2 linked regions of the Mus musculus genome follow. The protein of the gene in region 1 interacts with the protein of each later gene in a biochemical or structural test. Links are inferred from orthologs where the notes say so. Each region holds a gene or a part of one and is shown on either strand. Other genes may lie near its edges. The genes, in order: Nufip2 and Fmr1.

Evidence for each region.
Region 2: the proteins of Nufip2 (region 1) and Fmr1 form a complex in vitro, tested with the Homo sapiens proteins (2 studies listed by BioGRID and IntAct, with this or other methods). The link is inferred for Mus musculus from reciprocal best matches to the Homo sapiens genes NUFIP2 and FMR1.

The regions. Positions count from the first base shown.
Region 1 is NC_000077.6:77,678,106-77,694,590, forward strand, and holds the start of Nufip2 (nuclear fragile X mental retardation-interacting protein 2), read left to right. Parts: upstream 1-8,033; 5' UTR 8,034-8,122; coding exon 8,123-8,402; intron 8,403-8,450; exon of another isoform or gene 8,451-9,706; intron 9,707-10,181; exon of another isoform or gene 10,182-10,226; intron 10,227-13,436; coding exon 13,437-15,149; intron 15,150-16,485. UniProt on the Homo sapiens protein: Binds RNA.
Region 2 is NC_000086.7:68,695,313-68,711,171, reverse strand, and holds part of Fmr1 (synaptic functional regulator FMR1), read right to left. Parts: intron 15,684-15,859; coding exon 15,535-15,683; intron 13,505-15,534; coding exon 13,411-13,504; intron 13,325-13,410; coding exon 13,208-13,324; intron 11,113-13,207; coding exon 10,942-11,112; intron 10,831-10,941; coding exon 10,752-10,830; intron 7,510-10,751; coding exon 7,400-7,509; intron 5,924-7,399; coding exon 5,792-5,923; intron 5,312-5,791; coding exon 5,249-5,311; intron 3,131-5,248; coding exon 3,044-3,130; intron 589-3,043; coding exon 393-588; intron 1-392.

The sequences.
Region 1 (16,485 bases):
CCCAGCACTTGGGAGGCAGAGGCAGGCAGATTTCTGAGTTCGAGGCCTGAGTTGGAGGCCAGCCTGGTCTATAAAGTGAGTTCCAGGACAGCCAGGGCTATACAGAGAAAACCTGTCTCGAAAAACAAAACAAAACAAAACAAAAAAAATATTGGGGGTTGGAGAGATGGCTTAGAGGTCCTGAGTTCAATTGACAGCAACCACACAGTGGCTCACAACCATCTGTAATGGGATCTGATGCCCTCTTCTGGCACATCTGAAGACAGATACAGTGTACTCATATAAATAAAATAAAGAAAAATTTAAAAAATGGCAACTTAACTTTCTTTTTTTGAAAATTTTTTAAGATTTATTTATTTATTTTATGTATATGAATATACTATACTTGTCGTCACTGACTTCAGACACATCAGAAGAGGGCATGAGATCCCATTACAGATGGTTATGAGCCATCTCTCCAGCCCCCCCCCCCTTTTTAACATTTTTTTTAGACAGGTTTCCTTGGCATAGCCATGGCTACTCACTTTGTAGACCAGGCTGGCCTTAAACTCAGAGGTCTGACTGCCTCCTCCTCCTCCCAAGTGATGGGATCAAAGGTGTGCTCCACCACTGCTCAGCAAAATGTTCTTGAATTTCAATTACAGCTTTTGCCTGCCCTTCTGAAACTCAGGAAAACACTAACCTGGTTGAGCTTGCTAACTGCCTTATTTAGAATCAACTTAAATCAAATATCTGGAAATTCTGTCAAATTCTGCCACTGTTAAGACAAACTTCCTGAGATAAACAGTAAAAGGGAGGGAAGCTCTCTTAGGTCATTCATTGGTCTTTCAGTCTATGACAAGGGAAGACTGGAAGCACTTGCATGGACCAAAGCTGCTCACTCCATGCAAACTAGGAAGCAAAGTGAAGGAGAGGAAGAGCCCAGAGGTCTTCCTTTCCCTTTTCAAAGGCCACCTCCCAATGACCTAAATCCAGGCTAGTTTTTATGTCAGTGTAACATAAACTAAAGCCATCTCTGAGGAGGAAGTCTCAATTGAGAAAATTCCTCCATAAGATCTGGCTGTAGACAGCTAGCCTGTAGGGTAGTTTTTAAATTAGTGATTGATGGGGGAAGGCCAATCCCATTGTGCATGGGGCCACCTGGGATGGATGAGGTGGCCCTAGATAAATTTAAGCAGTTAAAAAAAAAACAAAAATGGGGGCTGGTGAGATGGCTCAGTGGGTAAGAGCACCTGACTGCTCTTCTGAAGGTCTGAAGTTCAAATTCCAGCAACCACATGGTGGCTCACAACCATCTGTAATGAGATCTGATGCCCTCTTCTGGTGTGTCTGAAGACAGCTACAGTGTGCTTACATATAATAAATAAATAAATAAATAAATAAATAAATAAATCTTAAAAAAAAATAAGCTGGGCATGGTGGCACACGCCTTTAATCCCAGCACTTGGGAGGCAGAGGCAGGCGGATTTCTGAGTTCGAGGCCAGCCTGGTCTACACAGTGAGTTCCAGGACAGCCAGGGCTATACGCTATACAGAGAAACCCTGTCTCAAAAAACAAAAAACAACAAAACAAAACAAAAAAACAACAAAAATAAAAGGCTTGGTTGTGGAGGCCCACACCTTCCTCCTTGAAGTCAGGAGGAAGGGCAGATGGGTCTCTAAGTTCAAGGCCAGCTTGATCTACAGAGCAAGTTCCAGAACAGCCAAGGTGACTCAGAAAAAGCCTGTTTCAAAACAAAAACAAACAAACAAACAAACAGAATGAATGCATGAATAAAACTGAAGCAGTCTTCAGTGAGGTTGTGGCACACAGCTTTAATTTCAGCAGAGGGTAGCAGATCTCTGAGTTCAAGGCCAGTTTGGTCTACAGAGTGAGTTCCAAGACAGCCAAGGATACACAGAGAAACCCTGTCTCAAAAAAATCCATCAACCAACCAACTAACCAACCAATCACACAACAGAGCAGTTTGAGCAAGCCAAGATGAGGAGCAAGCTTGCAAGCAGCACCTTCCAGGGCCTCTGCAACAGCTCCAGCCTCCTGGTTCCTGCCTCTGCTTCTCTCAGTGGAACGTGATTCAGGATATGTAAACCCTTTCCTTCTTAAGCTGCTTTTGTTCACAGTATATCATCACAACAATAGTAACTCTAACTAAGACAACCACACTTCCTTTTACTCGGTTCCACTTCCTAAAGAGTCAAAGGCCAATCAATGGTACCACATGCTGACAACCAGCTTTAAACACACAAAAGCCTGGGAGACAAAGTTAGTTCCAAACTGAGCACAGATATTCAAAACCAGTTTGGATAAAATAGGAAGAAGACCCTTCCTTGAGGCAGGGGTTGAGGTGGTAGTGGTAGTGGCTGTGGTGGAATACAGACCACAACATATAAAATACATCATTTTGTAGCATCAATATTTAAAACAGTATCATTTACTGACATTAGAAGTATTTGTTAGTGGGGGCTGGGAAGATGGCTCAGCCGTTAAGAGTACTGGCTGCTCTTCTAGAGGCCCAGTGCCCACATGTCCTTAACTCCTGTTCCCAGGGAATCTGACACCCTCACACAGACATACATGTAGTCAAAAAAACCAATTTACATAAAATAGAAGTAAATTATTTTTAAAAAGTATTTGTTAGCAACTTTATTTAAACCTACCTCATTAAAACCCATGAATTAGGTTTTCGGATGAAAAATTTTAGAGGGGCTTAGTAATCGGCCCAAACAAGGGAAAAGTGGAACAGAAAAGAATTCCATCTCAGTTCTGATATAAAATTTATCTATGTCTATATCAGGGATGCAGAGTTGCAGGAACTAGCCAGACATAGTAGCACAGGCCTTTAATCCCAGCACTCAGGAGGCAGAGGCCAGCCTGGTCTACAAAGTGAGTTCCAGGACATCCAGGACTATACAGAGAAACCCTGTCTCAAAAAAAACAAACAAACAAACAAAATTGCAATGGTACCCAACATAAAAGCATAAAGGCACATGTAAAATAAGGTGTTTGAGTAGTGATTTTCATTTGATAATTGTAGTCTTGCAACCCTGCTTAATCTCCCAAACTGTACAAAGAGAAACAGCAAAATTCCAAAAAAGCACATAATTGCTGGTAAAGAGAAAATGTTCACTAATTAGCCAAGTGTGATGAGCCCTGCCTGGAATACCTGCACTTAGAGGGTGGAGACAAGGAATAATGCATTCAAGGACAACCTTGGCTACACAGTGGGCTTCAGGCTACTGGGACTGGTCTCCAATAAAAAAATCTAAACATGCTGACTGTGGTGACCTTTAATCCCAGCAGTCAGGAGGCAGAGGCAGGTAAAGTTCTGTGAGTTTCAGGCCATCTGTGGTTACAATAATGAGACCCTATTTCACAATAACAACACCCCCTGGCACACCAAAAAAAAAAAAAAAAAAAAAAAAAAAAAAGCAACAAATAGAAGCTGTTCAATAAGTATTTTTGGTTTTTTAATTTAATTTTTTAAAAAAGATTTATTTATTATTACATCTAAGTACACTGTAGCTGTCTTCAGACACACCAGAAGAGGGCATCAGATCTCATTATGGATGGTTGTGAGCCACCATGTGGTTGCTGGGATTTGAACTCAGGACCTTTGGAAAGGCAGTCAGTGCTCTTAATCTCTGAGCCATCTCTCCAGCCCCAATAAGTATTTTCAAATGTAACAGTTAAACAGATTTTGTTTTTATTTTTCAGCTTCCCTTCGCATTACTTTTTTATATGCAGTCATGCCCTATAGATAAAAATTGTGACTTTGATTTTGTTGTTGTGCAGGTTTTCTATTGTTTCGTTTTAGATTTATTTACTTATTTTATGTATATGAGTACACTGTCACTGTCTTCAGACACATCAGAAGACAGTTTTGGATCCCATTACAGGTGGTTGTGAGCCACCATGTGGTTGCTGGGAATTGAACTCAGTACCTCTGGAAGAGCAGTCAGTGTTCCTAACCAGTGAGCCATCTTTCCAGTCCATTTTTTTTTTTTCTTTAATTTTTTAAGACAGGGTTTCTCTGTGTAGCCCTGGCTGTCCTGGAACTCAGTGTGTAGACCAGGCTGGCCTGTTTTTGTTTTTTTGCTTTCATATTTTTTCCCCATCCTTTGGGACAGGGTCTCACTCTGTAGCCTTGGCTGGCCTGTAACTCATTATGTAACCCAGGCTGTCCTCAACGTTGTACTCATCATCTTGTCTCAGCCTTCATAGTGCTGGGATGAAGACCATAAAAGGCCATGTAGGACCTGAGGTTATACTGCTAAGTCAAATCTCAAAATGTTAGTAACATTTTAATAGGGAAGGATTCAGGTTTAAGATGGCTCTCATTAAGAAAAAAAAAAAATATTCTGGGCCTGGAGAGATGGATCAGTGGTTGAGAGAATGGTTTCTTGTAAAGTGCCAGGGATTCTATTCCTGCATCCACCTAGTAGTTCACAAAAATCTATAACTCCAGTTCTAAAGTATCTGATCATTTCCTATGGTCTCTGAGGCACCAGACACACATGTGGTACCCAGACATGCACACAAAACACCCATAAGACACACATTTTTTAAAAAGATTATTTGTTTGTTTGTTTATTTTATATGAGTACACCACAGCTGTCTTGAGACACACACCAGAAGAGGGCATTGGATCCTATCACAGATGATTGTAAGCCACCATGTGGTTGCTGGGAATTGAACTCAGGACCTCTGGAAGAGCAGTCAGTCCTCTTAACTGCTGAGCCATCTCTCCAACCCCACTATTTTTATAAAAAGAAAAAATATTTATATTATATCTTCAAATATTACATACTGAAAAATATCACCCTACAGTAGTGGCGCATTCCTTTGAAGGCAGAGGCAGGCTGATTTCTGAGCTCAAGGCCAGGCTGGTCTACATAGTGAGTTCCAGGATATCTAGAGCTACACAGAGAAACCCTGTCTCAACAAACAAAAAGCCAAAAACCACTCCTCTACTCCCCAACAAAAAGGAAGGAAGGAAGGAAGGAAGGAAGGAAGGAAGGAAGGAAGGAAGGAAGAAAGAAAGAAAGAAAGAAAGAAAGAAAGAAAGAAAGAAAGAAAGAAAGAAAGGCAGAAAGAAGAGAAAGGAAGAGAGAAAAGGGAAGAAAAAAACAGATACTAGCTACCACGTGGTTGCTGGAAATTGAACTCAGGACCTCTGAAAGAGCAGTCAGTGCTCTCAGCCACTGAGCCATTTCTCCAGCCCTGATGGCTCAGTATTTAAGAGCACTGTCTGCTCTGGTAGATGATCTGAGTTTAGTTCTCAATAAGAGTAGATCACAGCTATCAATAACTCTAGTTCTAGGGTATCCTACTTGTCTGGTCTCTAAGGGCACTGCACACACACACACACACACACACACACACACACACAGAGTCAAAGAACACTTGTTTAATTTAATGAGTCTTATTAGGCAGCCCTGGCTAGCCTTACCTCAGCTACATAGACTAGGCTGGCCACAAACTCATCGACAACTGCCATCTCTACTTTTCCAGTCACACTGTAAAAGCTATAAAATACATACCTATTATCAAATAAATTCATAACAAAAAATGTTGTATATATACCTTCCCAAAGCATACTTACTCACCATGAAATATTTAGTCATAAAAAAAGGAAAGACCTTTTTATTCATGTAACGTAATATGAATACATCTTAAAGACATTATGGTAGCACACACTTGAAATACCAACATGTGGGAGGTAGAAGGATCGAAAGTTCAAGCTCATCCTTGACTGAAAGTGAGTTGGATGTTAGTCTATGCTATAAGAGACTCTGACAAAACAAAACAAAACAAAACAAAAAACCAAAACAATAAATGCTAAGCAAACAGAAATGAATAATTAAAACAGGGCTGAAGAGATGACTCAGTGGCTGAGACTTCTTGTTGCTCTTGCAGAAGACTCAAGTTTAGTTCCCAGCCCCACACAGTGATCCTAACCATTCTTTTTGTTTGTTTGTTTGTCTTTGCTTTTTGAGGCAGGGTTTCTCTGTGTAGCCCTGGCTGTCCTGGAACTCACTCTGTAGACCAGGCTGGCCTCCAACTCAGAAATCAGCCTGCCTCTGCCTCCCGAGTACTGGGATCACAACCATTCTTAATGCCACATGTAAGGGACCTGACAAAGCTCTTCTGACTTTAGCAGGCACCAGGCATACACATGGTGAACATATACACATGGGGATAAAAAAAAAAATCACACATACAAAATACACCTAATTATGTGTACCACGTGTGTGTCTGGTGCCCTTGGACTTCAGAAGGGAAGTTGGGCCCCCAGAACTAGAGCTATGGATGATCATGCTGCTGCTGTGTGAGTGCTCAGCATTGAACTCTGGTCCTTTGCAAGAGCAGAAAACGCTGCTTTTAACAGCTGACCTATTCCTCCAGCCTTAAGGGCTTTATCATTGAAAAGGTATGGGGTTTCAAGAGATATAGGTTCTAGTGCCTGCAATGACAGTATTTGTGAGGGGGACTGAAACAATTTGAAGCTAGCCTGGGCTACATAGTGAATAACAGGCCAGTCAGAGATACAGAGGAAGATCAAAAACAAACAAACAAACAAACAAACAAAGACAAAACAACAAAACAAATACAAAGTAAGATGGTAAACTTTACATTTAAATTTTCCCTTGGGGGGAGGGCAGTGATGGTGGGGCATGCCTTTAATCCCAGCACTTGGAAGGCAGAGGCCAGCCTGGTCTACAGGAGTGAGTTCCAGGACAGCCAGGGCTGTACCAAAAAAAAAAAAAATCCCTTATAATACATAGACAAATGTATATCTAATTTAATGAATTTTAAAGCAATTATTCATGTAATAGCAATAGCACATTGGCTGGGGTATGCTGGTGTGTGTAGGACTTTAATCCCAGCATTCATGAGGCAGAAACAGGGGGAATCTCTTAGTTGGCCAGACACTTCTACTTAGGTAGTTCCAAGCCAATCAGGTTTACATAGTCTGTTTCAAAAACAAACCAGTCCAAAACAAACAAAACTCCTAGCCAAGTCCCCCAAATATATATTTCGAGGGTACCCCGTGTCTGTGCTTATCACAACCTTCTTCCTATCATAACAGGTTAAATTAACAGCATAAATTGCAAATACACCTTTACATTTCAATGTTTTCCTTAAATTTAATACAAAAATGTTTTAAAAACCCAAACCTTAAGAACTTTTAAAGGGTTCCTTTCTCCTTTATTTCACTTTTGAAAGTCTTAGTCTAAAATCTATTTTGGTTCCATAGTTGACCTCACCTGCAGTGTTTGATTAAAAAAACAACAAAAACACCCAAAAAACTTCAGTGTAGATTTTTTTCATTCCTCCCTCTCTCTTGCTTTCAACTACAAAGAAACAATGATTTAAGCCCTTTGTCCCCTTTTAGAAAATTACACAGATACCCTATTGTGGAACCCTATAATCCCTCCGTGGAAAGGAAGAGATTAGCATATGAATACAAAGCAAAATGAATCCAGAATACGAAAACGATCTATCGAGTTGTGAAGCTCTTGTATTCTTAAAAATGTATTTATTTCCTCTTTTTTGAATTGCCCCCTTCGTGGTTTAAGGGTTAAGGAAATTGAGCTTTCCTCTCTGGCTACCCGGAAAAGAATTAAACACACACACACACACACACACACACACACACTCACAACCCAACACATTCTAGGAGGTGCAAAACCAACAGATGGCTCCTAGCGCCAGTAGAATCGTCAGTGGAATCTGCTACACTCGACATCAGCTTGCTCGGTGTGAGGAGTGTAGAAAGTGCTGTTCGCTAACTGCGTGGTGAAGGAGAGAAAGCGATAGAAGAGAGAGCCATAATGCTGACGTTGAAGGCCCGGCCCTGTGAGGTTGCATAGGGTAAGTGGCGTTGGCCAGGCGGCGGTGGCGAAGGGGAAGGGAAGAGGATTTGAGCTAGGGGCGGGGCTTGACGCGCAGCGTGGCTCCTCATTGCTGGAGCACGGCTGCCAATCTCGCAGATCCTCTCGCTTAACCAGTGCGCTGGCGAGACGCGCTCAGATATACCGAGCGAGCGCGGAGAAGCAGTCTCAGATCCTGACGGTGCAGCAGCCCGCAGCCTCAGCCAGGGAGTCCCAGCCGCTTTCAATGGAGGAGAAGCCCGGCCAGCCACAGCCTCAGCACCATCACAGCCACCACCATCCGCACCATCATCCCCAGCAGCAGCAGCAGCAGCAGTCGCACCACCACCACCATTATTATTTCTACAACCACAGCCACAACCACCACCACCACCACCATCACCAGCAGCCTCACCAATACCTGCAGCATGGAGCCGAGGGCAGCCCCAAGGCCCAGCCCAAGCCGCTGAAACATGAGCAGAAACACACCCTCCAGCAGCACCAGGAAACGCCGAAGAAGAAAACAGGTCTGAGAGGGAGGGCGGTGGGGGAAGGGGGACTGGATTGGAGGGGGGGGAAGCGATGGGGGTGGGGCTAGATGGGAAAAGCGCGGACCCGGTCCGGGTGTGCGTCCCGCCGGGCCGGGGATGCCCCCTTCCATTCTTCCCGGGCGCGGGCCGGGCCGCGAGGTGGGGATTGCAGCGCCCTCTCCTTCCCTTTAGCATGGGAGAGGCCCAGCCAGGCCGGCGTGACCTTCCTCGGTCCCCGCCCCGGCCGGCCGGAGGCAGAGCTGTGCCCTCGGCCTTGGAAGTCCAGCCTTCATCTTCTTTTTCCCCTCTAGTGCGGGCCCTGGAGTTGCCTGAATGTGGGGGCCCCTAAGAAGGGGGTGAAACTCAGCCGCCCTAAAAAAATAAAATAAAAAATTCCCCCGAGGTGTATGTAATTCAGGCCTAGTGAATCCATCCTGATGCGGGTGGTGTCGCGAGAGCCGCTTGCAGGCGGCGACGAGCGGGGCTGAGGGCTAAGTTGAGGAAGCGTCCTCGCTCACCCGCCGCCCCGAGCCCACCTGTGGCCTTGGGGTTTGCCGTCTGGGTGTGTGGGGGACCCTATCGTCCCTCGGGTCATTTCCACCCCTAAACGCCCGTCTTGCGCGTCCGGACCCCGTTGTCTGTCCGCGAGGGCTTCTCCGCAGGCCGGCGCCCCTGGCCCGCTCGCCTCGGAGCCGGCGAGGCTGGAATGTTCTCTCCTCCTCGCGGGGCCGCTTCCTGTCCGCCATGTTGGAAGCTGATTCCTGTCACCGACTCCGGCCGGCGGAGGAGCGGAGGGGGAAGGGTGCCGAAGGCCACACGGCACGCCGGCCCGGCTGCCCCGGGACCCTCTGCGGCCCTTTTCCGGGTCCCCCCCGCACTGCGGGCGGCCGCCGCCCGCCGCCCCTCCCCCTCCGCGCCGCGCCGCGCCGGGGTTGTGTAACCCGGTGGCGGCCGCGCGGCCCCGGGCGGGTCCCTGGGGTGAGGGGCGGGGGCGGTTGGGGTGGGGGAGGGAAGCGGCCACGAGGGGAGCGGCCTGCACCGTGGCCCCGCGCGCCCGACGGCCGCGTTTCCCGCTCCCGGGTGCGGCGGGAGGCGCGGGCGGGGAGCGGGCCTTGAAGAGGAGCTTGAAGGGGGAAGGAGGCCCGGGCGGCGGCCGTGGCCGTAGCGTTCCGCTGGCCTGCGAGGGGCGAGGGGGATTCGTTTTGGGGAGAGGCGGTGCCTGAGGCCGGGTGGGGTACCCAGCGGGAACCAAGCTCCCGGGTCACGAGTTTCTCTGCCACAGGAATCTCATCTCCTGCCAGGTTCGCTCACGACTCCGCCTCGGAGGCTTTTTCACTTAGGCCTTTTTTCTTTATAGCAGCGCATTTCCTACCCAAAAAAAAAAAAAAAAAATGGGGGGGGGTTGGGGAACAACCTCTCAAACTTTGTTCCATTCGTTTTCCACCGAACACCTAAACTTCTGAGCTGGGTAGTGACTTTGTGGGAGGGATTAATCCGATGCTCTAATGGGTGGGACAACACGGGCAGTTTTGGCTTTCCTGTTTCTTTAACTATGAACTGGAAGTGACTTGTCCATGTGGTTGTCACCAGCCCTTTACCTTGGACAAGACCTTTTTGGTGGTTAAGAGGCGTTTTGGTGCATTTTAAAACCGACTTCCATCCCCTAACTGAGTATTATTTAACATTAAATGTGGAGCCTTGAGCTACTTAAAATAAGCATCAAAGTTTATATATTCACACGTTTTGTTTTGTTTTGTTTTGTTTTTAACTGAAAAGGGAATGAAGAAAGAAGTGTTAAACTTAGTCTTTCAAGTAATACAAGTAAGTTACTGGTGAAAAACTTACTGTAGACAATATAACTTTGAAGGCAGAGCTGAGTGGATATCAGATTTTCTTTTGTAGGGTAGTAGGGACTGATGATAGAGCAGAAGTGTTTAATTGTAAGGATTTACAGCAGCCTAGAAACTTAGGAATTATGTAACTGTATTAGTTTTGCTTTTCATGAGGTGAGAAAGTATCAAGGTTGCCCAGTGGTATTGTTCACAGATTCAGAATTTGTCTTTTATGAGGTTTATGTATTCCCCACAGGGCTCCTCACTGCATAGAAAGGCAGACCCTGAACCATTCATTGAAGGTGGCCCTCCTCACAATGTGTCTTAACCTGGGATGAAGAATGAGGAGGGAACTGGGTTTAGGAAATTTAGAGGTTATTAACAGTTGGGCTCAGCGGCTTTCCCGTATGTGGTTTGGTCGTTGGGTACTGTGCTAAAAAATCTAGAAAATGCTAGGGAAATACTTAACAAGTTTTTATGAACCATTACTTCCAAAGCTATGAGAAACTGGTTTTCTGGATCCAGAAGAGGGCACAGGAGACAAAACATGTTGAGTAATTGCAGTGTCAAATCTAAAAGCTAGATTTATTTGGGACTCAAGTTTTGCTGAGTCCATTTGAAGTGGAGTTCTCATGGCACCCTAAATAATAAAGACACAGGGATTCTTTAATTGCTTTCTGTAATAACTACCATCTTCACATTTTTCTTAAATATCTAAGCTTTAAAAGGTACTTATCATACTTAGTGCATGTCAAGGCCATAGGGAGACAAATATGTAGTTAAGTGAATTTTTGTTTGTTTGTTTGTTTGTTTTCTTAATTTTCAGAGACAGGGCTTCTGTATAGCCCTGGCTGTCCTGGAACTCACTCTGTAGACCAGGCTGGCCTCGAACTCAGAAATCCACCTGCTTCTGCCTCACCTAAGTGCTGGGATTAAAGGCATGTGCCACCACACCCGGCTTGCCCACCTTTTAATATATATATATGTATGTATATATATATATATATATATATATATATATACACATATATATATATATAATTATGATTAATGAGCCAGAAGATACAGGTATTGCTTAACTTATAGTAGATGGTAAAGTAGTTCTTTCCTTGGTTGCCTTTGGTCCAGGCAAATCTATTGATTTGGGTCTCCCTGCCCCTAATTTTTGTTTTTGTTTGAGACAAAATTTCAGGGATACATATCTAGACTTGGCTTAACATTTTGCATTTTTTAAAAGAAAATGTTATAGAAAACAAAACCACATACTATTTTTGTCAGTTTTTAGAAAAATGGTAATGTAATGCTGGGAATATGGAATTAATTTTTTCCTAACTACTAAGGGTTGAGAATTGAACTTGATACATGGCAGTATGTTTGTTTCTGATGCAGGGCAGTGGCTGCACACATCTTTAATTCCAGTATTGGGAGGCAGAGGCAGGCAAAACTCAGTGAGTTCCAGGGTGGCTAGGGGTACACAGAAATCCTATGTCAAACAAACAAAAAATATTGTCTATAGTTGGTTTTTGTGCAACTGTGTTCTTTTCTGGAAGTTCATACAGAAGAAAAGTATTTGTTGTTTGATTATTGTTAGAATTGAGGGTTTCCCAAAGGTCTTTTGAGGTCATAAAACAATTGATAAAACTAATTGCTATTTTATTAGTGAGTAGAAAGCTGTGATTTAACCAGTAAATCACTTTTTAAAAAAGATTTATTTATTTATTCTATGTAAGAACACTGTAGTTGTCTTCTGACAACTCCAAAAGAGGGAGTCAGATCTCATTACAGATGGTTGTGAGCCACCATGTGTTTTCTGGGATTTGAACTCAGGACTTTTGGAAGAGCAGTCAGTGCTCTTAACCGCTGAGCCATCTCTCCAGCCCCCCAGTAAATCACTTCTAATAAGAGATAATTAATTGTAAGCTGATCAGTGGTGGCACACGCCTTTAATCCCAGCACTTGGGAGGCAGAAGCAGGAGGATCTCTGAGCTCAGTGATTTTGCATTCCAGCACAGTCAGGGCTACACAGAAAAACATGATTTTCTTAAAAACAAAACAAAACAAATGTTAGTTGTAAAAAGAAGTCTATGTTCAAGTACTTGACTGCTTTAGGATACTAAATTCATTTCATTGTAGTTTTGTGAGCATGAAAGTGTTGGAAGCAGGTAGGAAATTATGTGTCCTAGACAGATTCCTAGTTCTGTTACTCTGTGACCTGGATGTTAACATTTTCTCTCCTGGTGCTTTAACAACCAAGTAGAAGCTAAAAGTAAGAGAATGAGTCTTTTTTTTTTTTTTTTTTTTCCCCAAGACAGGGTTTCTCTGTGTAGCCCTGGCTGTCCTGGAACTCACTCTGTAGCCCAGGCTGGCTTTGAACTCAGAAATCCACCTGCTTCTGACTCCCAAGTGCTGGGATTAAAGGCGTGCATAAAGAGGCCTGGCTGAGAATGAGTCTTAAGGGTTACTACATATTTTTGTTTCATGTTTTATGGTATGCTGGGTTTTTTGTTTGTTTGTTTGTTTTTAAGGTTTCTGTATTATATGTAAGTACACTGTAGCTATCTTTAGTCATCCCAGAAGAGGAAAAGTCCACAGGTCTTATGGCTTTGTCTGAAATTCATTGGCAACTAGTCACTTTTAGCCCTCAGTATACTCTTTGGGGGTACAGGGAGGTTCAGTACTAGGGATTGAGTTCAGTGGTCATACAAGGGAGACAAAGGCCACAGCCTTATTTTTATTTTCCTTTTACAGGTTATTGTATCTGAAGTAGCACTGATTCTAAATAGTGTGTGAGACAGGGTTCCACCCTGTAGCTCAGGAAGGCTTCAATCATGCAATAATCATCTTGCTTCAGTTTTTCTAGCAGACTCATTGATATAATTCATAAGGTTTATTCTGTTTAGATAATTTAGAGGAGATTATGGCATGCTGCTTGAAAGGTCCTGATCTTTCTAGTTAATTCTGGCTACTGGCCCAGAAGATGGACCTGATATGAGTTGTGTCCTAGGTCTGCCTCTGCCTAGACATTGAACCCTGTATCATAATCTGTAAAAGTTTCTTTACATAAAGTTTCTTTACATAAAGATAAGATACAACAAACCCTACAATACAGCTTAGTATTGGGTTCAGTAAAGTTGTTTGGTCTTAGTACTACTGTGATTTAAATGTATGTGTTTTGTTTGTTTTTGTTTTCCTTCTATAGGCTATGGTGAAATAAACGGTAATGCTGGAGAAAGAGAAATATCTTTAAAGAGCCTCAGTTCTGATGAAGCTACCAACCCTATTTCCAGGGTCCTTAATGGCAACCAGCAAGTTGTAGAAACAAGCCTGAAGCAGACTGTAAAGACCAGCACCTTTGGAAAAGCAGGAATCAAAACCAAGAATTTTATTCAGAAAAACAGTATGGACAAAAAGAATGGGAAGTCTTATGAAAACAAATCTGGAGAGACCCAGGCTGTAGATAAGACCGATACCATAGCAATTCCAAATGGTGTTATAACAAGTAGTTCAGGCTATATTACTAATGGTTATATGAGCAAAGGAGCAGATAATGATGGTAGTGGATCTGAGAGTGGATATACCACTCCTAAAAAAAGGAAAGCTAGGCGCAATAGTGCCAAGGGTTGTGAAAACCTTAATTTAGTGCAGGACAAAATAATGCAAGAGACTAGTGTCCCAGCATTAAAACAGGGACTTGAAACTTTAAAGCCTGACTATAGTGAACAAAAGGGAATGCGAGTAGATGGTTCAAAGCCTATTTGGAAATATGAAACTGGACCTGGAGGAACAAGTCGTGGAAAACCTGCTATGGGTGACGTGCTTCGTAAAAGCTCTGATATTAAACCTGGTTTGAGTAGCAAAAAATTTGATGATCGGCCTAAAGGAAAGCATGCCTCAGCTGCTGCCTCCAAAGAGGACTCATGGACCTTGTTTAAGCCACCCCCAGTTTTTCCAGTGGACAATAGCAGTGCAAAAATAGTTCCTAAAATAAGTTATGCAAGCAAAGTTAAGGAAAACCTCAACAAAACTGTACAGAACTCCTCCGTGTCACCATCTTCATCTTCATCATCATCATCTACTGGGGAAACTCAGACCCAGTCTTCAAGTCGGTTATCCCAGGTCCCGATGTCAGCTCTGAAATCTGTTACTTCTGCCAGTTTTTCTAATGGGCCTGTTTTAGCAGGAACTGATGGAAGTGTGTACCCATCTGGGGGTCAGCCACTGCTAACGACTGCTGCTAATACTTTAACACCCATCTCTACTGGGACTGATTCTGTTCTTCAGGACATGAGTCTGGCTTCAGCAGCCGTTGAACAAATTAAATCTAGCCTTTTTATCTACCCTTCAAATATGCAAACAGTGCTGTTAAGTGCACAAGTAGATCTGCCCTCTCAGACAGATCAGCAAAACCTGGGGGATATCTTCCAGAATCAATGGGGTTTATCATTTATAAATGAGCCCAGTGCTGGCCCAGAGACTGTTATTGGAAAGTCATCAGATCATAAAGTGATGGAAGTGACATTTCAAGGAGAATATCCTGCCACTTTGGTTTCACAGGGTGCTGAAATAATTCCCTCAGGAACTGAGCATCCTGTGTTTCCCAAGGCTTATGAGCTGGAAAAACGGACTAGTCCTCAAGTTCTGGGTCACATTCTAAAACCTGGGACTACTGAGAGTGGAGCCTTATCCTTGGACCCCAGTCATATAGGTGACCTGCAAAAAGCAGACACCAGTAGTCAAGGTGCTTTAGTGTTTCTCTCAAAGGACTACGAAATAGAAAATCAAAATCCCCTGGCCTCTCCTACGAACACTTTGTTAGGCTCCGCCAAAGAACAGAGATACCAGAGAGGCCTAGAAAGGAATGATAGCTGGGGTTCTTTTGACCTGAGGGCTGCTATTGTATATCACACTAAAGGTAACTCATTTGTTTTTTTTCTAAGATTCCAATGGGCTGATTGTGTGTGTGTGTGTGTGTGTGTGTGTGTGTGTGTGTGTACATGTATATTTGATATTCTATATTATGAATGACTGGGTAAGAATTAGTATCAATTAATTGTTAATTGATTTGAAATTTTTGAAAATTTATTAAAGTTTAGAGGACTGTAGTTTTCCAACGTAAAATCATCAATAAAGGCACAGTTGATCACATAATTAGATAGAGGTTTCATGTCCCTTAAAGGATAGCCTTTTTTTGTATTGGGTCTCAGGTTTTTTTTTTTTTTTTTCTTTCTTTTTTTTAAGTGATAGAGTCAAAGTTTTAAATTACCCAAATGGGCTTTAAATCCTGATCCTCTACATACTAGTTGCTGCTGGGATTGCCTGTGTATGCCACCAAATTTGGCCTCCCTCTCTTGCTTCTCAAAGTGTATATATTATTTTATTAGCAAAACAATTCATGGTTTTAGTTGCTTATAATGAATTGGGCAATGTTTTTGAGAGTTAGAAAAGATAAGTATCAAACTTTTTTCCCTTAAAAAAGTGCCAAGTGGTTTATTAAAGTAATTTAAGCAAATAGTGACAGGCACATGGATTTTTAGCCTTTTTTTGGGCGGGGGGGAGTTAGAGACAGGGTTTCTCTGTATAGCCCTGGCTGTCCTGGAACTCACTTTGTAGACCAGGCTCGAACTCAGAAATCCACCTGCCTCTGCATCCCGAGTGCTGGGATTAAAGGCCTGCTACCACGCCTGGCTTTAATCAGCCTTGTAAAGACCAGGTTTTTGGTTTTGGTTTTTTTTGAGTCTTCTATAGTAGCAAAGTCATGTAAAGGAACCAGTGCTAGACTTGGTGGAATGTGTTTGTTCCAGTTATTTGGAAAGTCTAAAGAAAGATAGTTGCTTCATCATTCATAAATAAGAAGGGACCAGATACACTTCAAGTTTCAGGCTAATGACTGAATATAACTGTTATGTTAGGAATTTGCTGTGGTGGTACCTTTAAATCTTTGTTCCCTAGCCACTTAATAAATGCCAAGCAGGGAACTAAGAACTTCCTTAAAATGTATCCATAAAATGTATTTTCTGACACAGGGCAATGGTAGTGCAATCCTAGCAGCATTTGGGAAGCAGAGGCAGGAGGATTTCTGAGTTGAGGACAGCCTGGTCTGCAGAGCAAGCTGTAGAATAGCTAGGGCTACACAGAGAAACCCTGTCTTGAAAAAACCCAAAACAAACTACAAACTCAACAGCCTCCACCTAGAAACCCTAACCCTACCAACAGAGCTGATAGAGATGGCTTTCAGTAGGCAAAGGCAC
Region 2 (15,859 bases), on another chromosome or scaffold:
AGCCATAGGATGCAGACCCCTGATTTACACAGTCCATCCAGCAAGTATGACCAGCACATGCCTGACAAAAAATGAGCCACAGTACACAAATGAAAAAAGTTTTGGCTATACAGTAATAAAATCAGGAGAGGTCTTAGGTCATCAACACATAAGGGCTTAAGCAGATTTATCCCCAATTAGAATATGGACAGAACTCACAACTGCCCTGTGAACTATGTGTGTCATTAACGGGCTTTTATTCTACATGTCTCTTGAAACACAATTTGACCCACTGTGAGTTGGAAAACATGTAGTGAGAAATTGTTATAATGGAGTTCTAATGAATATTAGAGATTAGCAGCTATTAAGTCTAGGAACAGATAAAGTAACTGAGGAAAATGCTTAGTTTGTACCTGAAGTATATCCAGGACCGCGTCTGCCGTGCCCCCTATTTCTGTAAGGTCTACTACCTCGACCCATTCCTTGACCATCATCAGTCACATAGCCTTTTTCCTTATCTGTACGATTTGGTGGTGGTCTAGAACTAGCTCCAATTTGTCGCAACTGCTCATCAATTTGTAATCTCTCCAAACGCAACTGGTCTACTTCCTATTTAAAATATACAAGATAACAGTAAAAATAATTTGACATTTTACTTAGTATTACCTTTCTCCTTTTCATCAGATAAAAAAGTATACTGGAAATATTTCGACTTCAGTTCTAAATTTATAGTAAACACTGTTAACCCAGAATTATTAGGAAATTGAATGGTCTCCTTAAAAAGAAAGATTACTATTGATACACTTACTGATGTCAAGACTTAGAAATATAACAAAAACACTCAGTTTTAAAGTTATATTGAATAAATTTGAGTGATTTGGCACTGCTATTCAATTAGTCTATGGATAAGGCAGAGATACATTAGTTTGGGGACTTTTTGAAATAAGATTGACTAAAACAATACTAAAAAGTATAAAAATACAGATAAATGACAGACATTTAAGATTTAATCAACTAACCTTTAAAAATCACACATAAATGAGCTCAATGAAATTATTTTGTCAGTTAATATTCTAATTTACTAAGTATTGTACTTGGGGTATATTTTTTAAAGAGCATGTAGTATTTTTAGATATAATTACGGATCACTTATTTTCAATGAACTAAACATGCTAATATTCCTTTATATGAAGGGGAGGAAATCCCTAGGTCTCACATCAAAACACCTAGTTCTCACATCATGCCTTGAAAAACTTTTAAAATGCTAAAACTCTGCTTAAACAAGTATTACAAACAATATACATTGAGTTGAACAAAATATATCAACTCCAGAATCCACTGATAGACCCTTATACATAGCATGTACAAAAACATGGGATCTGTCGAATCCAGATGAAACTTTCACGTTAATCCTTGCCTTTCTAGCATATCCATGAGCATCTCACTTATTAGCTACAGGGCATAAGATCTGTAACTACAGCAAATATTCAGTGTGTCAATCAAGAAGAGGTCATTGAAACAAAGTTGTCAAATTTTGGTTCTGACATGGGGTGGGGGGTGAAAAACGGTCAGACTGAGAATCCACAGAGAACTTGCTCTCTAAACCAGAATCTGTGATAAACTGGGTAGGAAAAAGGAAAGACTAGTGGCTTCCTGCAAAGGTATATTTCTAGCTAATGGAATGTGTTATCTAGAAATTGCATAAGAGAATGGTATTCCAGTTATTGCACTTAGGTATTGTACTTAGTTTTGGTGAGATGCTAGACCCAACCAAAAGATGATTTGGTGATGATAAGAATGGCAACAGAACAGCTGCCAGTAACAGACAAAATATTCAATAGAGAAAAATAAAATATCTAAGAAAAAGCATTAATTGAAAGAACAAGGGACATGATATAATGCAGCTCTGTCTATCTAGGTCACAATAATTATTTCTAGTGAAGATTATAAAGGAAAACATACAACAGATTGCACATAAAACACTGTCCAACAAAAAATAAATAAGCAAATCAAAGTGGCATCCTACCCATGCAAACCTTGCTGGATGAAACCTTCCCACTTTTATTTATTAACTGACCACCATTAAGAATGAACAAAATGACCAGGTACTGCACCGTTTTTTTTCCTTTCACTCTTACTTACTAGAAGACTGATTCACATTTTATTCTTTAAGTCAGCAAACACATTCTTAAGTTAGTATCATAAATAAAATAGAACTTAGATTATTTTGTAGACTTTAAAAAAAGACCTATAGAATAATTCTGGCATATATTTTAACAAATAAGACATTATAACACTAAAAACAATTAAGATTTCATTTCATTAAATTTTATATTTGGGCCAAAGGGAAATTGAAAAAGTACACATAGCTACTTCACAGATGTATTGCCAATCCCATGCTATTTTTACTAATATAATAGCCTCTGGGTTCCTACTTCCCAGCTTGCAAGCTAAGGAAGCATAACAGTAAAATCAGTAAGATGAGCATATACAAGAAAGCACAAGTAGTTTATATTTTGATTAACACAATATAGAGAAAAGTATGAAGAGTAAATATTTAAAGAGGACTTCATGAAATGCTAGAATTTCCTTAATAAATAACATAGGAGGGACAACAAAGGCAAGTACACACAAAATTTGGATCAGAAAACATCCATAAAAGCTAGAAGGTTCAAATATATATATATATGCATATATATACACACATATATATGTATATATAACATCATTACCTAAATTGAATCTAAGGGTTTAGCAGAATAACTATATATAAATAAATAAATATATATACATACACACACACATATATATACATATATATACATGTACATATATATGTATATATGAATGTATTGAGAACTGGGATATTAGCCGTAAGATTTACAATGAAAAATTAAGTTTTTAGAAGAAATAAACTGAAACAATGTATTTTATCTATTATTTTTACAAGGTCATATACTGTTATGCACAGCTTAGAAGGATCCTAGTTTTGGAAGGATTTACTATACAGTTTTTAATAATTCAGCACAAGAAGATTAGAAGTTAAAAGTCATCCTGTCCTCACCTTTAAATAGTTCAGGTGATAATCCAAAAGAACAGTGGCATTAGCGATGCTGTCTTTTGTTCCCACAAAAACAAATGGTACCATACCCTGAAAAAGAAATTGTAACAGTGAACCTAAAGAACTAGTGATGGTTCATCTGAAAACAAAAACAAAAACACCTAATGACTAAATCCCTAGTACAAGGTCTGGCGAACACACAAACATCTATTTAAAATATAAATCAATATGTAAAACCAAGGGCAGATCAATATAGTGATTTCTTAGACATCACATTGTTTTAAAGACTACTGTTTAATGTTGACAAAATAACAAACATTTAACTAAGAATTATACAATCTTTACTGTGGTAAGCAAGATGAATAGTTATGCTTTAATTCACTCACTGTAAGTTCTACCTAAATCAAATTCAATTTAAAATCAGATACCAATGATACAAATTTAAAAACCTCAATTTTGCCAACCAAATCAACAAAATCCAAATCATGAACAAAAATGAGAATTTAAATTAAAATACACTGAGTAGTTTGTAGAAGAACAAAAACCAAGGCAAAATTATAAGCATAATATTTAATAAGTCCATAAAATTTCAAAAATATAGTATAATCTTACAAAGTTCAATCATAAGAAATACTTTGATCTTCTATGTATAGCATTTTAATATAGGGATTGTTTTAAAGATATAATCTAAATATTTATATTTCTCATCAGCATAAGAGAAGAAAAAAAACCCCAAACCATTCAATATAATAACCAGTAGGAAAGTCTAGCTTAAAGAGGGGATAAATAAGACACATTCTAAGCTGAGAATAGTTCAATCATTTTGCTACTGAAGAAATACATGATTATTGGTACTCACACACTAATACTGTAATACTAATAAGTAATAAGTATTACAGTTACAAGTGTTTGGCAAAAATGCAGGAGGCCAAGAATCTGTCCCTCGAGCAAAGTGTCACTCTTTCCTAAAGAACGTTTCTTAGAACATGTAGCTATTGTTGGGATGCTTTCCCTGTTTATATTCAGTATACAGTAGGTTCAAGAAAGGAAGGGAAGGACACAGGATTTTCTATATCCTTGTAAAGAATGCTACTGTTGATGAACAATAAAACTGAACCATCAGAAAGTATTGCTTGTAAGCTGATTATCATATAGTAGGCAAGGCACAGCTTCCTAGTAGCAGTGACTATCTGAACTATCAGGGGATGAAAAGAACTTGTAAAGATTTTCTTTTTTGTACTACAATATAAAAAGTGCCCTCCTTCAATATTATTCCTTTTCTCAATAGCATAATCACAAAGGCATTAATTGTACTTTTTCCAAGTGCCAAATATCAAGTCACGAAATAATACATGCTTTCCAAGTAATCACCAAAATAAGCTTTTAATTTTGTGCTGTAGATTTAATTAGGTAGAATTTGAAGAACATTATTTAAACCAATTTTCTCTTATAACATGGTACAAACTGTTAGAGTACCCAAGGACAACTCAAATGTCTAATCAGAAGATCTGAATAAATTGAAAATATAGAATACCAATATTAGGACAAAGTGATTCTCTTTTCTAAGATGAGAAAGGGATGTCCAACAGAAAGGAGTGTCCAATTCACTTGCAGTTTTAGTTCTTGGTATAAAATGGCATTTTTGCTTTTAGTCTTTTCTGAGTTATACCATCCTTATTATAAGCAATTCTCATATACCAGGCAAAGGACCCTGACATCAAGGAGCTTACAATGTGGTTGAAGAGACCAACAAGAAAACATCTAAAAACATGCTCTGGGTGAGCACACAGGAAGATGGAACAGGTAGGAAACCTGTGGTAAGTACACAAGGAAAGCTTCACATACAACAGGGTCAAAGTGATAAGGCAAATACAGGAAAAAGAACAGTCTGGGTAGAATAAACCCACACATAAAGCAGCAGCAAAAAGTATGTTCAATTTTAGAGAATTCCAAGAACTTCAGAAGGAATCAAGCTTCCTATAAGACACAGTGGGAAGACTGGTAGAAAATGACACTGGACATGTAAGGGAAGAACTTCTAAGTGGAATGAAGATGTTTGAGATTTAGCCTAGGGCTGTGGATCCAAATACCCACAAATACTCCTCCACCAGCCCCCAACCATGAGGCTCATTTGTAGTCTTTCTTAACAAGGGGAATAAACATTAAAATATCAACTTAAAATGTATTTTTCAAGGAATAGTTTCCTACCTGCCAAGCCTTGGGTTCAGGTTTCTGGGGTCCCCCTGCTACAATTGATGAAACCACTAACACCTAAAGCAGTATAAGGAATGCAAGTGATGTGATTAACTATAATGAACGATACACAGAAGCCTGAACGCAGGACTTTCACTGCAGGACTTCTAAATGCATTTCTAAATAGGTCAGTTCAAATAGTGAAAATCAGTTTCTAAAATATGGCTTTAAGAAGTAACTAACACATCTAATAGAAGGTACACTTTGAGTTACAACACCTGCAAAATTTAAGGAGTTATAGTATGAAAAAAAAAAAAGTCCACCCTCAACAGAAAAAAAGTGACCCCATTAGGTTTATAGCTTAAGATTTGTCACTGTGAATAAATTGAAAAAATATGTATTACTTTGTTTTGTAATCTCATATGGTACCAAACCTATGTGAAAATATAGAGTAAGAGTAGCCTACAAATCTAACGAGAAAAAACAGCCCAAATACCAAATGTGGAATCTGCGTCAAAGAAATTACTTTTAGTGTGGTTAGAGGTGACAAATTCTTACCCTCTGGACTTTTGTACTGTTAGGTTGAGAAAAATGGGTGTTTTCCTTTGTATCTAAATGTTTCTTTTCTTCAGAGGAGTTAGGTCCAACCCTTGAATTATTGGAAGGTAGGGAACTTGGTGGCATAATTTCCTTGATAAAAAAACATAAAACACAAAAAATTCCAATTTTATGAGAACTTGGTTCTATTACCATGTCAGTGATATTTTTTGTTAAGCATATCCACTTAATTATTTATAAAGAAATCTGATAATTCAACATATTAGGAACAATGTTTGAAGTTCATCTTTTCCCATTAACAATGATGGTTAAGACTATAGATTACTATAAAGTGTTTTGACATATAAAATTACAGGGCATAAATTTTTTTAAAAGGTTTGTTTGTTTATTTATTAATTATGTATAAGTACACTATTTATTTATTAATTATGTATAAGTACACTATAGCTGTCTTCAGACACTCCAGAAGAGGGCATCAGATTCTGTTACGGATGGTTGTGAGCCACCATGTGGTTGCTGGGATTTTGAATTCAGGACCTTTAGAAGAGCAGTCGGCACTCTTAACCACTGAACCATCTCACCAGCTCCCATAGAGCATAAAAATTATGCAATTAAAAACCAAATCAGGGATTAGAGAGAGATGGCTTTTTGTAGAGGTTAAGAGCATGTACTGTTCTTACAGTGGAACCAAGTTTGGTTCTTAGCAGCTCACAACTGAGCTCTTCTCCCAACCCCTCCAAACACTCACACACACAAACTTTATTGAATTAAACCTTAAAAAAAACACTAAATTGATTTAACATCAATTAAAATAATCTTTCACAAAAGACAGCTAATTAATGTGAAAATTATAAGCTTGTGCGTGGACAGCATTTTGAGAGTACAACTGCATCAAGGGTTATACTGTCCCTTTCCACTTTCCATACAAATACTTACAAGGTTACACCAATAAGCATATGTCCAGGTAGATAGGACTGAGAGTTATCAAAGTCATGTTGGGGGAAGTGATCATGTGCAGAAAAAGCACACACAGAATGAACTTACTTTACCACATTAACACTCAATCAAAAGCATTTATAAAGGCTGTCTATGCACGCTTTTTGTCATTCATTAATGGCTGAACCAGTGATATACACCTTATAATAGCAAACTCATGACTACCCATTATAAGATCACAAAATGAAGACAAATACAGGATAAATTTACTTATCTAAAGTCCAGCATTAGAAAACATAGTCACTGGGTGGTGGTGCACACTTTTAGTCCCAGAACTTGTAAAGCAGAGGCAGGCAGAACTCTGAGTTCAAGGTCAGCCTGGTCTAAGAGTGAGTTTCAGGATAGCCAAGGCTACACTGAGGAATTCTGTCTTCAAAAAACAAAAACCAAGCCAAACCAAAACAGATAGTCTAGTATCTATAGTATTAAGCATGTCCAATAGTCAGAACAATTATCAAAGTCCTGGATTTGATTCTGAGTACCACAAAAAGAAAAAAAATATTATATGCATGTAATACAGGAGCCTCTGTATTAATACATTAAAAAAATAAAACAAGACAAACAAAACTCTTTCTCTTAGACAAAACCAGAAAAATAAGCACTATTACATACCTCTTCTTGTGGGACACTTTTCTCATTTTCAGCCTCAATCCTCACCCTCACAACTCCTGACTTGTCCACGATCTCTTGAATCAGCTTTCCATTTTTTCCTATTACTTTGCCTAAAATAAATAATTCATGTTTGACTCGAGGACATCACTCAAATCGTACAAGCACACTCCACTATAAACTATCTTACACATTCAAATACATATACATACTGGATTATAAGATTCAAAACAGAAGCTTTTTAAAAAAATAGTTTAATTATAAATTATTCTCGTTGATTAGGTCATTTTTAAACTCATTTGGTCAGATACTACAGCTGATTAATACTTGTGAACTGATTGGGTAATTCTGAAAATTTAAAGGTAACTCAAAGAGAACCCCTTATCTCACATAAGACCGTATACTTTAAACTAACTGGTACTGTGGTATTTAGCACTCTGTAAAGCTCTACAAAAGGAATTAAGGAAAAGAAGGATAATAAATGTATTTGCTTACTTGACAATTTCAATTCTCATCTAGCTTTGATTCACATTTCCTCATATATACATAGGAACTATTTTTAGAATTATGTATGACACATTTGAAAATATGCTCTTAAGTTTCAGGAGCTTAGAAAGCTATCTAAATATCTAAAAGGAACAAAAATTCTTCAAGCCAATGTTAATAACAGAATATTAGTTCTATGCATTGGTCACAATGTAGAGTAGCATACATATTCATAGGTAAAGCACACTTTCAGATAACTCCAAAACTACCATGAAAAGGCTTATACGTATTCTTTAGTAACATCTGTTGAAATTCAGAAAAATCTAGTAGTAGTTCTAAATAGCAATTGTTTGCCCCACTGTGCAAAATTCAATTATATATAAAACTAGGACATGGCTGCTTTCATAGCCACTATCATACATGAGTGTAAAGCAAGAATTTACAAATTAAGCACTACTAATTCTAGAAACCTACACATGAGGCAAACCAGATTCTAGGGGGACTTAAGCACTTAGATAAGCCATGGGTGAAATGCTTCTATATGCTCATTTTGCCTCCTCAGCGCAGGCAAATTGATGAAAAGAGAGAAGTTGCTTCCTAGCTACTTTAAATAACAAACTAGCAAAAGGTCTTGCAGAAGGACTCATAGTTCTTATAATCAGAGCCACAGTTTTGACATTATTGCTGTGTGTGGCTTTCATACTCTTCCACCTTGAGCTCTTTGGTCAGTGGTAGAAAACAAAACTCATGCCACTAAACCAGGATTTCTAATCTAAAAATCTCATTATGTCTGTTCTATTCTTCTTCAAATGAAATGAAGAACGTACAAAAATCCCTACCTGGAGTATTCTCAGAGTTTGTTTTTTTTTTTTTTTCTGTAAAATCCTTACATAACCATGAAAGTTGATTTTAATAAAGATGCAAATTAGCATAAAGAAAAGTAGGACTTTAGCATGTTTCTATTAAGAAATAACTAAGTACTTCGTCTAAACAAACTCACTGTCAAAGTTTAGATAGAACACACAAACTTTTAGGCAAGATAAATTGGTGTGCATACTGAAGAAGGCTTGTGAAAAATAGGTAATCAATCAGTAGATGAGACTCAAGTAATAGTGATTAAGACGTCACCCTGAAACCTGCCCAGCAAACCGAACTAACAAAAACTGATTTCTGAAGAAGCCCAGTATTCCTAGTGTTGCAGCATTCCTCATCAAACCAGAATTCTCTTGTTTTACTAAGTATAAACGTAAAGAAAACTCAATTCTGCAATAGGTTTTTTTTTGGTGCAAACCAACTTTAAACATCCTCTACACCTAATGCAAGACTATAGGTATAATCTCTTTCTTCTTTGGTAATCTAATTGAATCTAGTTTACTTGTATATTGCAGTTACTTCCAAATTCCAACAGAATTTACTATAAATCTGCTGTAATGAAATGAAGAAGTTATGAATAAACAAAAGAGAACATGGAGTTTCCTTCTGTACCCAGAACTGTGCTAAGTACTACACATAACAACACCTCATTAAGCATCTAGACCTTGAATACCACGTTGATATCATGTTAAGTGAAGGAAAAGCATTCTCTCAAGAGCTAAGTCAGTCACCCAAAGTCACAATGGTATCAAATATGTGTAAATATTTTCACCTACTATAGCACTATCAAAATTTAATGGATACCATGGTTCTATCATAATCATTAGTTCATCCTGTGCTATGCATGTATCTTCTATACAACTGGTATGTGTGTTGGTAACACTACATTCACATTCTTGTGTTGCAGCATACATGTAAACTAATTTCATTAGCATTTGTTCTTTACCTTCAAGTTTTTTTTTAATTAATGGTAAAAAATACCATGACTCTTGGACACTATTTTGGAGTCAGGATCTTGCTATCCCTACCCCATACTATCCTTAAATTTGTGATCTTTGTGCCTGTCTCCTGAATGCTGGGCTATTGCTAGTAATTTTAAATGACACTGTAAGATGATTACTATTCTATTTTGACAAAATGTAGCCTATGAATGTTTTAAGCTATATACATAAACTACACAGGAAGTTTGTTCACTTTATACTTCTACAAGAGGATTAAGAAGCAATATGCCCCAAATTTATTTATAAATTCAAACCACATTTTTTTTTTTTTTTAGACAGGGTTTCTCTGTGTAGCCCTGGTTTTCTTAGAACTCATTCTGTAGACCAGGCTAGCCTTGAACTCAAAAATTCGCCTTCCTCTGCCTCCCAAGTGCTGGGATTAAAGGTGTGCGCCACCATGCCCAGCTCAAAACACATTTTAAAAAATAAACCCATACCTGGTTTTAGTTTGTTCTACTAAAGACAACTGAATAATTTGGGAATACTAGTGAAAAGTTCCTATGCTAACAGCCATCACAGTGATGATTAGGAAACAGTATTTATCAATTTATAAGGAGCTACTACTGACTCCATAAAATCCAAAGACAGTTGGTGTGAATTTATCTTTCAAACTATGTCTATGCTAGACATATCCAGATTTTGAACCCAGAGATAACTGACATGAATGCTATCATTTTCTCAAATATCACCAAACTATAAAAGCTTAAATTTTTAGTCATTTTAGAAAAAAATCTAATGCTATGATTAAAAAAATACCTTGAGGAGGCTAGGTAAAAATTATCCTTTCAGACATATAAGTCTGAACTATTTCTTGTATATCTTCTGAAAATATAATCTTTGAGTATTATTTTCTATACACTGTAAGAACAGGCTACATCTCAAAGATTGACTTAATCAGATTACACTTTCAGTGATGAAACGAGGTTTAACTAGTATAGAAGTTGTGTACTAGGATTTTATTTTTTGTGGTATATATAAAGTTATTTTTTACTTACCTACTAAGTTTCGTGGAACCTGTATGACATCTTCAGCAAATTCCAGAAAGCTTCTAGCCTTTTTCACTGCATCTTGATCCTAATAAAGAAGGTTGAGTGGGTGTAATATCAAAGCAAAAGATTTGGCATTTGAAATACTATTTGTTTGTTTCTATGAGGGGGAAGTTGGATTATATGGTGAAATATTTACCTCTCCATAAATATGAAATGTGCAGGTATCCTCATCTAAATCAATAGCAGTGACGCCAGGCACTTTTCTAGCTTGCTGAATATTAGCACCATGAGTACCAATAGCTAAACCCATCAGATCTTCTCGTACGATAAACTGTTCATGAAATCTTGAGGCAAGCTGCCTTGAACTCTGAAGAGAAATGCACAACTGATTAACATGTTTTATCAATTATTAAGACAATTTCATTTAGGTCAGCCATGTAAATTATCTTGACCCTATATATCAGGGTCCTATAAATTATCATAGTAGAAAAACTAATTTTAGAATCACACAAGTTCTTTTGAGGCTAATGAAGGTCTATGCCATTTAAAACATTTTTTTTGTTAACAGGAAAAAGTTTATTGACAGTTTTTCAAGGTTATGTTTGCAAACCTATTTGCAAGGCTGCCTTTGTTATTCAATGATATCCACAATGTAATAATTAAGAAGCAGACAAAATATTCCCAATTAAGAACAGCTCACTAGGTCTGACAGACTCAATTCAATTTAAGCAACAATTAAAAATGGTATCTTTAATAAAAAAATATTCACTGCACTTATTATGGATATATAAGTACTTTTTCTAGAAATGGTGCCATTTTCATAATATATAACCAGGTATGGTGGATCTAAACATCCTTCAGCTGAAATGTGACATTAAGACAACACCCTCTCTCCTCAAACCCAGGGAAAAAAATCCCTAAAACTCTGTGGTTTAACAGTAAAGTGAACACTCGTAGAATACAGAAATATCAATTTTATATTACTTTTATATTCAGAGTCTGTTAGACTTTGTGATCTGAATCCACAAAAGCTTGATGAACTCTTTAAAATATTCAGCAATGACAAAACTATGTTCCAATGATACCCCATATTATGTGGATAATCACTGTCTTTAAAAAGCATATCAAAACTGAATGTTTAGTTCTAGCATGCCATTAATGAAAACCAAACAGATTAGTGGCTCATGTTGAAAATGGGTATTTCTTAAAAGGGTTTATGAACCTCTTTAATATTAGTAGTGAAGAAAATAGGCATGCACATAGTTTATCATTATTCAACACACCAGATAATTTGAATGAATAAATATATCTAATGTAAGCAATTTTAAAAGAACAATAGTTGTTTTCAAAGGTAATGGTAGTAAAGTATATAAAATCTTCGAAGATTTTCCAAGAAGTCACGTTTTTGGATCGTGATTACCCTGGTTCATTTTTCCCATTGATAATTTATGGATACATGTAAACCAAAGGTATGGTAAAGAACATTCAAGAAGAATTAGATGCTTAAGAAGAGATATATGAGTACACGTTCATAATACTCACAATGAAATTAAGAAGGCTGCTGTGGCCTAAAAGTTATGAGAAAATCGCTAAACCACAAAAGTGTGAACATGGGGGACATCAATAAAGAATGAGAGAAAAAAAACTAATCAAACAGACCTCAACAGCCATTTGGCAAACAAAAGTAAATTTTTCCTTTTCTGTTAAGAGTTCATCATTCATACACAAAGTTGGTAATTGGCAATTTTCATAGCCTTGACTACCTTTTTTCTTAAACTACAATTTGAAACTCCCCTTTTCTTTTGCTATATCAACTGATGATTCTCCCTAACGAAATGAATAATGATGAGGGAGACTCTTTAAATTGACAGTAATCTACTTGAGTTGGTACATTAAAACAAACTCCATTTAGTTTCTATGGTAATGAATGGAAGTACTAGATAGTTATCAATGAAAATAAATGCATGGTGATGGCAATTATTGGAGAATTAATAAAAGTAGATAAAATGCACCTTAAGAGACGAAATAGTAAGTTAGGGAAATAGCCTCTGGCAGGAATCTGAAGACAGGAGTTTTAAAGAGTGACAACCAATTAGAATGAAGAAGTTCTATACCCTTTTAAACAGAGATAAACATACATAATGAAAGGAATAAGATTAGATATTTAAATATTCTCTAGTACTTTAATGATAACATGTTACATAGAAGAAGCATTGTCTCACTTTATAGCAGCTTTGACAAACTTTTGGTAAAAATGAAATGTCTAAAATTTCCTTAAAATATATGACTGTTGTGTAATTTCAGGCATGAAAATTTTAGTATGCTTATATTTTGTACAATTTAAATTTCCAAACTAGAGGAAATAGGAAATAATAAAACAAGCTGTCCATACTTGAATTTGAGAACCATACAGTAGTTATTTCTGGACAGCCTTACCAACAGTGCTAGGGAAAGGAACATACCTCCAGTTGTTTACTGGCTTCTTCATTTCTCAGTATAAGAGACAACTTGGTGCGCAGACTTCGAAAGTGCATGTCAATCAACATGTGGGCTCGCTTTGAGGTGACTTCATTGATGGACTGAGTGATTTAAAGTTAACAATATTGTTACCAAAGCAAATGCCCCAGAGGAAATAAACCAAACTAGACAATTAAAAAACACTCACCAAAATTACCAGCTGATAATTTTCTGGATCATAAGTTACAGAGAAGGCACCAACTGCCTTTTTAAAATCCTTATGTGCTGATTCTTTGGCACACCTAGAAATAAAACATATTCATCATTAACATGAATGATCACCAATCACTAGCACAAATATATGCAGATAAAATTATACTAAAAACCAAGGATTTATACTAAATTTCTTTTATGTAAATGCTAGTTCTATTTACAAGTTATGTACTTTTACTGTACACCTGTGAAATAAAGCAAACATTTGACACAATAAAGGGTAAAAAAGCAGCTAATTAAAACATATTTTATTTTTTTGGAAAATTTTATTCTTGAGCACTGCATCTATATGACCCCCATCTCCTGTGCCCTTTTAGCTATTATTTTAAGCATTTATTTACCCATGTGTTTCTGTGTATGCACATGCATGGTGTTATCCTAGGTTAGTCTTAAACTCAATTACACAACTTAGGCTGGCCTCTACCTCCCAAGTACTGAGACAACAGACATGTACCACATCTGGCTAAACAGTTATGCTCTTAAGGAATTGCTATTAGGGTTAGATTGTTGAAGAAGCCACATTTATAGGAACCACTTTTTTTTCTGTATAATTCTTGATTTTCTTTACATAAGTCAATATTTTCTGTGAGCAAACTGAAAAATTATGGAGATAAGCTATGGGTATCTTAATCCTCTCCTTTCTCTCTTGAAGAAGAACAGTTACATCTGTTGAAATAAAGATGAAAACATAAAAATTACTTGCATACATCATCTCTAGACTTAAAAATAGAATTTCTATGTATTCTGAACTATAATATGACTTTTATCTAGGGTAGTAGTCCACATCAGACTTATTGTACCTTTAAAAATTAATCTCTTCTCTGAATTGTTTAACATCATTCTAGATAAAAGATTAGAAACAGGGCTTTTCCAAGCCTCTTTAGCTTTAACTTAGTATGTATTTTATCTGAAAATATTTTCTCTAAAAGGGAAAGCATCAGGAGAAAATTTTGTAGTGTACAATGTGACTTTCTATTTATTTATTTTTACCTTTTAAAAAACCTTTTATCATTTGTATTAGATATTTTCTTTATTTACATTTCAAATGCCATCCCGAAAGTTCCCTATATCCTCCCTCTACCCTGCTTCCCTACCTACCCACTCCCACTTCTTGGCCCTGGCGTTCCCCTGTACTGGGGCATATAAAGTTTGCAAGACCCAGGGGCCTCTTTTCCCAATGATGGCCAACTAGGCCATCTTCTGCTACATATGCAGCTAGAGACACTACCCTGCCTGGGGATCCATCCCATAATCAGCCTCCAAACGCTGACACCATTGCATACGCCAGCAAGATTTTGCTGAAAGAACCGTGCTATAGGTGTCTCATGTGAGGCTATGCCACTGCCTGGCAAATACAGAAGTGGACGCTCACAGTCAGCTATTGGATGGAACACAGGGCCTCCAATGGAGGAGCTAGAGTAAGTACCCAAGGAGCTGAGGGGGTCTGCAACCCTATAGGTGGAACAACAATATGAACAATGTGACTTTTGATAGAATTCTATCATTTTCAAAATCTTCAAAGCTTATGAAAAAAAAAATCTTTGTTTAGAGAACTCAGTGTAGATTTACACACTTTAGCCATATATCAAGTAAGTTTAAACAAATACAGGACTTGCTTGATTATATAACTAGGAAAAAAAATTTTTTTCCTTCACTACTGTAACCAAACTACTTTTGACAAAGATACAAAACATATCATTTTAAAATTTACATTCTGAATTAGTAACCTGGATATAACATCTTAATTTATATATGCAGTAACCTATATATAATATTTTAATTTATATACACATATGTATGTGTATATAAAATGTATATTTGTAAAACTACACACCCTTGCATGTTCCCAGCATTTTTTCATATAGCATTTTTTCTTTTGGTTTTTTTTTTTCAAGACAGGGTTTCTCTGTATAGCCCTGGCTGTCCTGGAACTCACTCTGTAGACCAGGCTGGCCTCGAACTCAGAAATCCACCTGCCCCTGCCTCCCAAGTGCTGGGATTAAAGGCATGCACCACCACTGCCCTTCTGATATAGCATTTTTTTAATGTATCAACTTACATTTGTCGTAAATCTTCTGGCACCTCCAGCTTGATCTTATGGAAAGTATCTTTTGTAGCAGGTTTGTTGGGATTAACAGATCGTAGACGCTCAATTGTGACAATTTCATTATACGTAGCATCACATGCTGCATATTCTATCACATAAAACTGAGAGAAATAAACAAGTCATTCTTAGCCATATTTTTAAAAGAAGGGAAACCTACATAACTTTGACTATTGTTTTGAGAAAGGAACTCATAATAGCCCAGACTAGCCTAGTACTTACTCTATAGCCACGGATGACTTTTAACCCTGATCTTTGTGATTCAGCCACTTAGTGCTGG